Linked DNA regions of Drosophila melanogaster. The protein of the gene in region 2 interacts with the protein of the main gene of each other region in a pairwise test. Each region holds a gene or a part of one and is shown on either strand. Other genes may lie near its edges.

Region 1 (3,928 bases), 6.9 Mb from region 2:
GAGTTTCCGCGACCGATTTTGATCAAGGAGGAACCTGAGGCGACGGTCAAAGAACGTTTTAACATTGAGTGCGTCGAGTGCGAAAAGGTATGTACAATTTTCTCGACCATCCACAACTAAATAATATTTATTTCAAATTCGATCCACTTAGTTCATCAATTTTATGGGTTCAAATCTGACAGACGAGAAGATCAAAGATTATTTGGCAAAGTGCCGGCATGAAGACGCTCGCAGTTCAACTCCGCCGGGATTCTGGAATCCACACATGGTTTCCTTCGCAGAAGGCGATCCACGCAACGAAGTGTTGATAGACACTCGGTTTTGGGACCAGAGATAAAACAAATGACATTTAGGCAATCAATTTACAAATAGTTTTTCAGTTTAGACCATTTCATTTATTATTGATTTTGTTAGTTCTCAATTTGATCACATTTGATTCACAAGTTTCCTCGCTTGGCTTGTTCAATTTCAATGGCCGTGAACAAGGACTTAAAGTTGCCAGCGCCAAATCCCTGAAATAGTAATGATCATGATTTACTTGTTCTTAGCAACAGTAGGTTAAGCAATAAATCTTACATTGTGATTGTAGCGTTGGATAACTTCCAGGAAGAGGGTCGGTCTATCCTGGCAGTTCTTTGTGAAGATCTGCAGCAGATATCCGTTCTCGTCGAAGTCAATCAAAATGTTCAACTTCTTCAAGACCTCCATGTCCTCCTTGATCTTGGTGCGGCTGTGCGAGAGCTGCTCCTGAAGGATCTCGTAGTACGAGGATGGGATGGTCAGGAACTCGGTTCCTCGAGCCTTTAGGTTGCTCACCGCCTCGATAATGTCATCCGTATTAAGAGCAATGTGCTGGACACCACCGCCGCCGTAGTACTCCACGTACTCCTGGATCTGTGACTTCTTTTTCCCATTGGCTGGCTCATTGATCGGCATCTTCACCGTCTCCTCGTAGTTTGCCATCACGATGGACCGCAGGGCGGAGTATTCCGTGTGAATCTGCGAGTCATCCACGGACCAGAAGCGGTGGAACTGCAGGATTCTCTCGTACCAGGAGGCCACGCTCTCCATCTGCAGATCCGGCTGGTTGCCCACCACGTGATCAATGAAGTTCAGCTTGGTGGAGGGCAATCCGTTTAGAAGGACATCTTTGGGCGACCGCTGGAATCCAGGCAGGAAATCTCCAGCGTACCCATTGCGCTCCACGAAAGTGTGGGTAGTGTCGCCGTACTGCATTCAAGTTAAGGATTAATCCTTAAATATTCCAGAATGAAATCCACGGACTTACCGTCTTGATGGTAGCGAATCTCACGAATCCCTGATCATCGCTCTCCTCCCAGATGTCGCGGACCACTTCGGCCCCACGGGACACGGCCAGTGTGAAAATGGCATTCAAATCCTCCACTTCGAAGGCTACATCCTTGACACCGTCGCCGTGGCGCATCAGGTGGAGTCCATGCTCCTCGTCATCCGGCGTGTAGGCGGAGACGAACACAAAGACGATCTTGTTCTGGCGGACGGCATGCTTGGCGAAGCGTCGCTCCCCGGTCTCTAATCCCTGATAGCCAAGTGGTTCGAAGCCCAGTCGAGTGGTATAGTAGCTGGCCGCCTGCTTGGCGTTGCCAACGTAGAAGGTTAAGTGATCAAAGCTTAGAAATTTGCCGGCTTCAGGCTGAAAGTAGTGAAGAAAGTAGGTTGGCATTATACGCTCCAATATTGGCATACGCTTTCGAACTTACTTTGGTTCCTTTGTCAGTATAGCTGGTCTGTTGGTAGTTAAAAAGAAATAATAGAAGTCATTAGAATTAGATCACCTTGAAATGGATCCTTAGAAAGTCTGTATAATTATCATTGGTTTATCCGCTTTTGTTAGACAGTATTTGTTATAAATCCTGTTTGAGAACTCTTTAAAGTCCATTTAATTCGCACTAAAGGGCTGTTACATAACCACATAGCCACCACATGTCCCATCGTCTCATTTACCATTATCACTCAGACTCAATTTATGCAAATCCTCTCCTCGCACGCGATATAGATTTCTTCGTTCCGTCGATCTTACACGATCTTCAAATTGATTATGGCCTGAGCTCAGCCAGTCGGAGGCTTTTTATAGGGCGCTCAGGTAGGTGGATCAGGTGAAAATCCTGTACTAATTTAAATATAAGCCAAACTAGTATTTTGTTTATTTCGAATGCCATATTATCGGAATATCTTAGCTAGCTGGTTATTGATCGCATATTTAAGCTAAACCTGCATGGATTTGTTTACTAGAACAGGTGGATTACTTAATTAATGCAATCTCGAGCGGAATGAATTGCAATATTGTAATGCGGGTCGGGCCTCCAATCTGTTTACTTCGTATCTGAGCGGCGCTTTGCAAGTTCTGCGTTCGAAATTTCACTTCCTTAAGCTCGTTACATGAAGATACAGATAACTATGTGTTCGTTATGCAAAAGTTCGGCCCATGTCAGAATTCAGCTAAATATTCATGAAGTCAAGTCTAGTGAGTTCGAAAATCGGTTGCCAAGTCGTACTAAACTTGATTCCAGTTTCGAGCCCCCAAAAACGCAAACAATGGGCCAACTGAGTGTTAATGCTATCTGAATTGTTATTGTTATTGCCATTGTTACACAGTGCATAATGTGGGGCGTTATTGAAGTTGTTTTGCATTAGAACCGCTTTGCAAGGTTCTCAAAACAAATGTACAAAAACTGGTTAACAAATCTGTTTGTTGTTACGATCTAATAAAGCGGCACACGCTAGTCACAAATCATCTAAATTGATGATTGCCTTTATCGGTTTTTAATTGCGGGGATAATAGCTCTAAGAGGATTGGAAAAGGATTTCAAATCATTAGCTTGATGGTTATTTTCTTTATTTGAAAGCGCATAATTCAGTTGTATTTAAATATAGCAAGACTGGTTTTGGGAACTGGATTAGTTATTTAAGCAAGTTCTATTATTTTTATAGGTATTTAGGAATATCTTGCTTATAGATGAATGAGCGTTTTAGTGATCGTTATTCTTTAGTTTAAAGTTAGACAACATCACTATAAATGATACAGATAATATAGATATAGATTTAAATGTAATTCAACAAGCAGCCAATATGTTGAGATTATAAGATCATAATTGTTAAACGGCGTTTATTTCTATCATAGTAATAAAAAAAAGTTTATCTTGTGCTTGCTTTAAAGATCTTTTGATCGAGATATTGCCCCTGTGCTTTTTTTTGGGATAGGGCAGTTCTCTTAATCATTTTGACTGACGATTCGTGTCAGGTGTTTGGCAACATGCGACAAGCCCATAAATTAATAGTTTTTGCCGCTCAGCCACATGCTATGTTCCCTGCACACATGGCGTATGAGCAATTCAGGCAGCTAAGCATTAATGATTAGCCCTAGACAAAGTCTCCCCCAGCTGCTAATGATGAACTGACAGTCCGATGGAAGTGGTGAGGTGGGGATGGGATGGAATAGGTTGGGAAAGAGTGGGCGATGGTCGATTGGTCATTGGCAAGAAGCCAAATCAATGCTTGACATTTATTATGATTGGCTTATTAGGGCGCTGCATAGGCGACAATCTGGCAAAAGTGGTAGGAGTTGGAAGTGGCCCTTGTCGCCAAATTGCTCCAGATGGTATTGTAGCTATTAAACCATATGACTGAAAAGGTTCTTCTATAACAAACCCATTAAATTCCTAGGCGTATTAATAAAGAACATTCTATTCACATTCATGCAAAGTAATGCATCTGAAAATACACAATTGGGGCAACTTTCTAATTTCAAATCCTCCCAAGCCCTTTCACAACATTGATTCCATTATCGCCCTCATAAACTGCGAGGTTTTCTATTTGTTTACTTTACACCTGGCGCTCCTTGGGTTCCATTAGTCAAAGAATCCCGACGCACTCCCTCGGACCTATCCCA
Region 2 (3,928 bases):
AGGCAGTTGTTACCTCGGAATTTTTTGTTGGTACCACGGACGTCGCTGCGATGGGTGAAGATCGCGAAGTTGGTGCTCCAACTCGAGGAGCGGCAGACTGCTTTTGTTGCTGGCGTTCGGCATTGCGCTGGATCTCGGCAATCTTCCGCAGCCAACTGCGTACATTCTCGTGAGCCTGACTCGGCGGAGGAGCTGGCGGTGGTAGCACTGGTCTTGGTTGCTGGCGACCCTGCGTGGCCTCGTAATGGGCGGCATACTCGGCGGGCAGAGCTTGGTGGTGAAAGCGAAGCTTCATGGCTCCCGCATCGCCTCGCTTACGTGATCGCTGTTGACCCTGGCTGTGCACTGGCCTAACTGTCTTTTGTGGTAGAGCAGTGTGTGGCTGCTCCTGCGCTGGCTGTCGGTTCGCCTTCCGGCTGCCCATCAGCAGATTGGCCTTCAGCTGCTGCTTGGTCAGTGGACTGCAGGTGCCATTGTGTGGGGTTTCGTGGCCGGCACTTTTGCGGGCCAGTAGCGTCTTGAAGGGATGGTCTTCGTCGTGGGCATCGTTGGTGGCGCCATGCGAGATCAATGGGTCGTCGGAGCCCTGCAGCAGCAGACGGGTGCTGTTCAGATCCAGACGGAGTTGTGGGTGCTCGGGCGTGGGCAGCCAGCACTCCAAGTCGGGATCGTGCTCCAGCTTTATGCTGGGTAGGAGCTGGTCCAGATTGTTGGTAGCCGGACCCAACTCTCCCTTGTCTGCGTTTCCGTTAAGATCGCAGATCCTAGTAAGTTCTTGCATGCTGATCTTGATTTCGGCTAAAAAAAAGTAAGAGAAAGATAGTTTTATTATTATTTATATAATCTTCCAATTTATATGCTTTTAAATTAATATAAAACTTTTCATATTTACATCACTTATTACAAAGACTTGTTTTCATACAGTTTCGAAATTCAAACTAGACAACACATTGCGTATACGAACCATTGACTGGCATAGACGGTAATAAAAGGAAATAGTGTAATGTTCCAAACGCTTACCGGAAAATACTATGGAAAACACATCTAAACTAAGCTGTAATTTTAACCGTAGTAAGTTAAAAGTAAATATGAAATGGTGGTATACGTTGCGTATACGCGATGTGAGAGACACGAAAAACACGTTGTGTTGTTATTTTGATGCTCGCCGGCAGAGGAACACATTCACGGAGACGCAGGAGGAGGAGGAGGGTGCTCAATCTCTGTTTCTCTCTCGATCGGTGGCCAGCACGGGAATTCTATTTAAATGTCCAAGAGGAACTGGCAAGTGGCGCTCTCTCAGGCGAAACACACACAAACGCACAACGATTTTTGCCCCGAAACCGAAATGTTGTTTTTGTGCATGAAATTCGATTCCCTGGGCGAAAAGCATGCCCATAAAAGGTCTAAAGGCCCGGCCTGAATGGATGGCGAAGGGTATTTGCTGTATCCACATACATAGAATAACGATTACTAATCGAGAACTATCATATTTACCTTGCTATTCTATCGTTTGTACGTTTAAGGTGCCCTGGAAAAATGAATATCTTCTGTTCCGGTTCCCTCGCCGGTTCAGTCTTGGCTCAAGCTGTCCTAGTAATGCCGGGTGATTGAGATCACCTTCAAATCGCCACGGTCCACAGTTCACTTCACGCTGCCAGTGGCAGTTGGTCGACGGGAATCGACGCTGTGCGCGTGCACATCGTGTTGACATCCAAAACGCAACTAGTTGCGGGAAAGCCGAGTCGCGGAAAGCATCGCTTCTTCGGAATATGCTCCTTAGATGGACCGCCGCGGAGAGCACGCCCCACACACAATAGAGGGAAATAGGAAAATAGCGCGGACGGTCGGGCAAGTGAAAATCAAATCAAATTCCGCCGCTCTTCGAAGATGCGGAGATGCGTTGTCGCTGCTCGACACCGATGGTTGTCGTGGTCCGTATTTAACGCCAAAGACGAAGCTATTTCGTGTGTGTTCATTTTTAGAAAAATCCAACTTGTTGCCGGCCATATAGAAGACCCCTCACCACTCGGCCAGGTCCACAACGCTACGCAGAATGCGGCAGCCAAAATGAAGCAAGAAATTCTGCCCAAAAAAAAAACGAATTTTATTTTTCGCTGTTTTTCATTCATGGGCTGCCTGTGCGCCAACTTGTTTATTGTATCAACGGATCAGGGTGAAAACAAATTGCTTTCGTTTCAGCTTCTCCCGCAGCCGAGCAGAGGTAGTGGACTAACGAGGGTATCCCCAGTTCGATCAGCAACCCCTTGTTTTTTATAGCTCTCTTTCCTAGCAGCTACGCGTATATGCGCGATCGCATTTTATTTATAGCACCTGGCTACTTCGGGTTAGGGCAACTAAGAATCGCCTGCGCCTCTTTCGGATTATGATTTTTCGGGTAAGGTAGTGAAAGGAAAATAAGTGAAATGAAAAACACCTCCCGAAATAGACAACGGATCGAGGCGGATCCTCTATTTTGGGCAGCGCACATGGCAAAGTAGGTCAACTCCGTTTCTAACTGGAGTGGGTGCACAGAGAGAAATTAGAGTAAGAAATAAAATAATGCTGAGATTGGCATTTCGTGAGAGTAATTAAAATAAAAAAGAAAATCACCCTGATAAAATTAAATTAATTTAATGGAAAAGCAAAGCAAAAAAAATTGTAAAATCTTTTTTTAACACCAAAAACTGGAATATATGTTTAATATTAAGCCTTCAAAAAGTATTGAAAACAAACGTAATTTATAATAAAGTACAGACAATTGTCTCATCACACTCACATTCAAGTTCTAAACATGATTGATGTGAAATGACACGGTATGGTTTTTTATATTAATTATTAAATGGGATTATTACATACAGATAAGTATGACGGCACTGTGGGTGGGTGGTTTGCGTTTGGTTTATTTAAAATAAATTGTTTATGTCATGATTTGCAAACTGAATGCTAGTAACTCAGTGATATTCGGTCATGGTCCGATCACTAATTACTTTCTCCACTGCGCAAAATAAGGGAAGAAAACCGACGAAACTCGGATCATCAGAATGCAAAGCACAATGCACAAGTCACTATCCAAATGCGAATAGACGCCTTAAGGGGCAGCGTTCTTCAAGTTACTCATTTGGCAGTCCCAAGACGATTAGACCCCTTATTGAACAGATCACTCAATCATAATAATAATAATACCTACCCGCTTTTAGCTGGAAAGAATCTTTTCTCGACCGTTTCGCATCGCGTGCAAGATCGAACTTCGCAGAGATCACTGTGCAGTCGATGATGATGACGCTGTACCGCTGGCAGTGGGTGGGCGAGTTTTTCGCGACCTGCAGAAGCTTTACATTCTACAGTTGGTTAGACGGCGGTTAGACGGCAGTCGGCGGTAATTGGCAACCCAGAACCGGAGCTTACATCACCATCAGATCGGCCAGCGGCGGCGGAGTCCAACCTACGGATGCAGAGCGGAGTGGAGCTCTTGAGTATTGCACATCTATTCGGCAGTTGCGAGTCTGCAGCAGCTGCTGCTGGTGTTTTTCCCACTGCTATCTGCTAGCATGTTTATCGAGCGACACTGACAGTCAATATCTGCTTGCGCGAACGAACATATTTGTATTTATGGCCATAACTGCCACTTCAATCGCCCACGCGCGCTTTGTTAACGTGGCTTGAAGCAAGTGAACAACCATGTCATTTGCGAATTCTATAGACCAAGTCTTTTGTCTGGCCTTGCCTCAAGTTCACACGATATCGACAAGTATTCCCCTGGGATTAACTCACTTCACTTGAGTCATAATTTTCGCATGAAAATTTGAATTTCCTATGTTTACTAGCCGCCGACAAAACGCGAGCCAATATGCAAATGCTTGACTTGAATTGGCGAACTGCCGCTCGATTCGCGATTTCCATTCAAATCAGATTCGTTTTCGTTCTGTTG

Evidence for each region.
Region 1: the proteins of CG10710 (region 2) and Hpd interact in a two-hybrid assay, tested with the Drosophila melanogaster proteins (one large-scale study listed by BioGRID).

What each region holds. Positions count from the first base shown.
Region 1 is NT_037436.4:20,437,789-20,441,716, forward strand, and holds Hpd (4-hydroxyphenylpyruvate dioxygenase), read right to left. Parts: upstream 2,085-3,928; 5' UTR 1,987-2,084; coding exon 1,984-1,986; exon of another isoform or gene 1,767-1,983; coding exon 1,740-1,766; intron 1,673-1,739; coding exon 1,289-1,672; intron 1,231-1,288; coding exon 577-1,230; exon of another isoform or gene 513-576; coding exon 438-512; 3' UTR 378-437; downstream 1-377. Other genes in the region: CtIP (CTBP-interacting protein), read left to right, coding at 1-87, 152-337.
Region 2 is NT_037436.4:13,517,878-13,521,805, forward strand, and holds the start of CG10710 (uncharacterized protein), read right to left. Parts: upstream 1,729-3,928; 5' UTR 1,495-1,728; intron 799-1,494; 5' UTR 782-798; coding exon 1-781.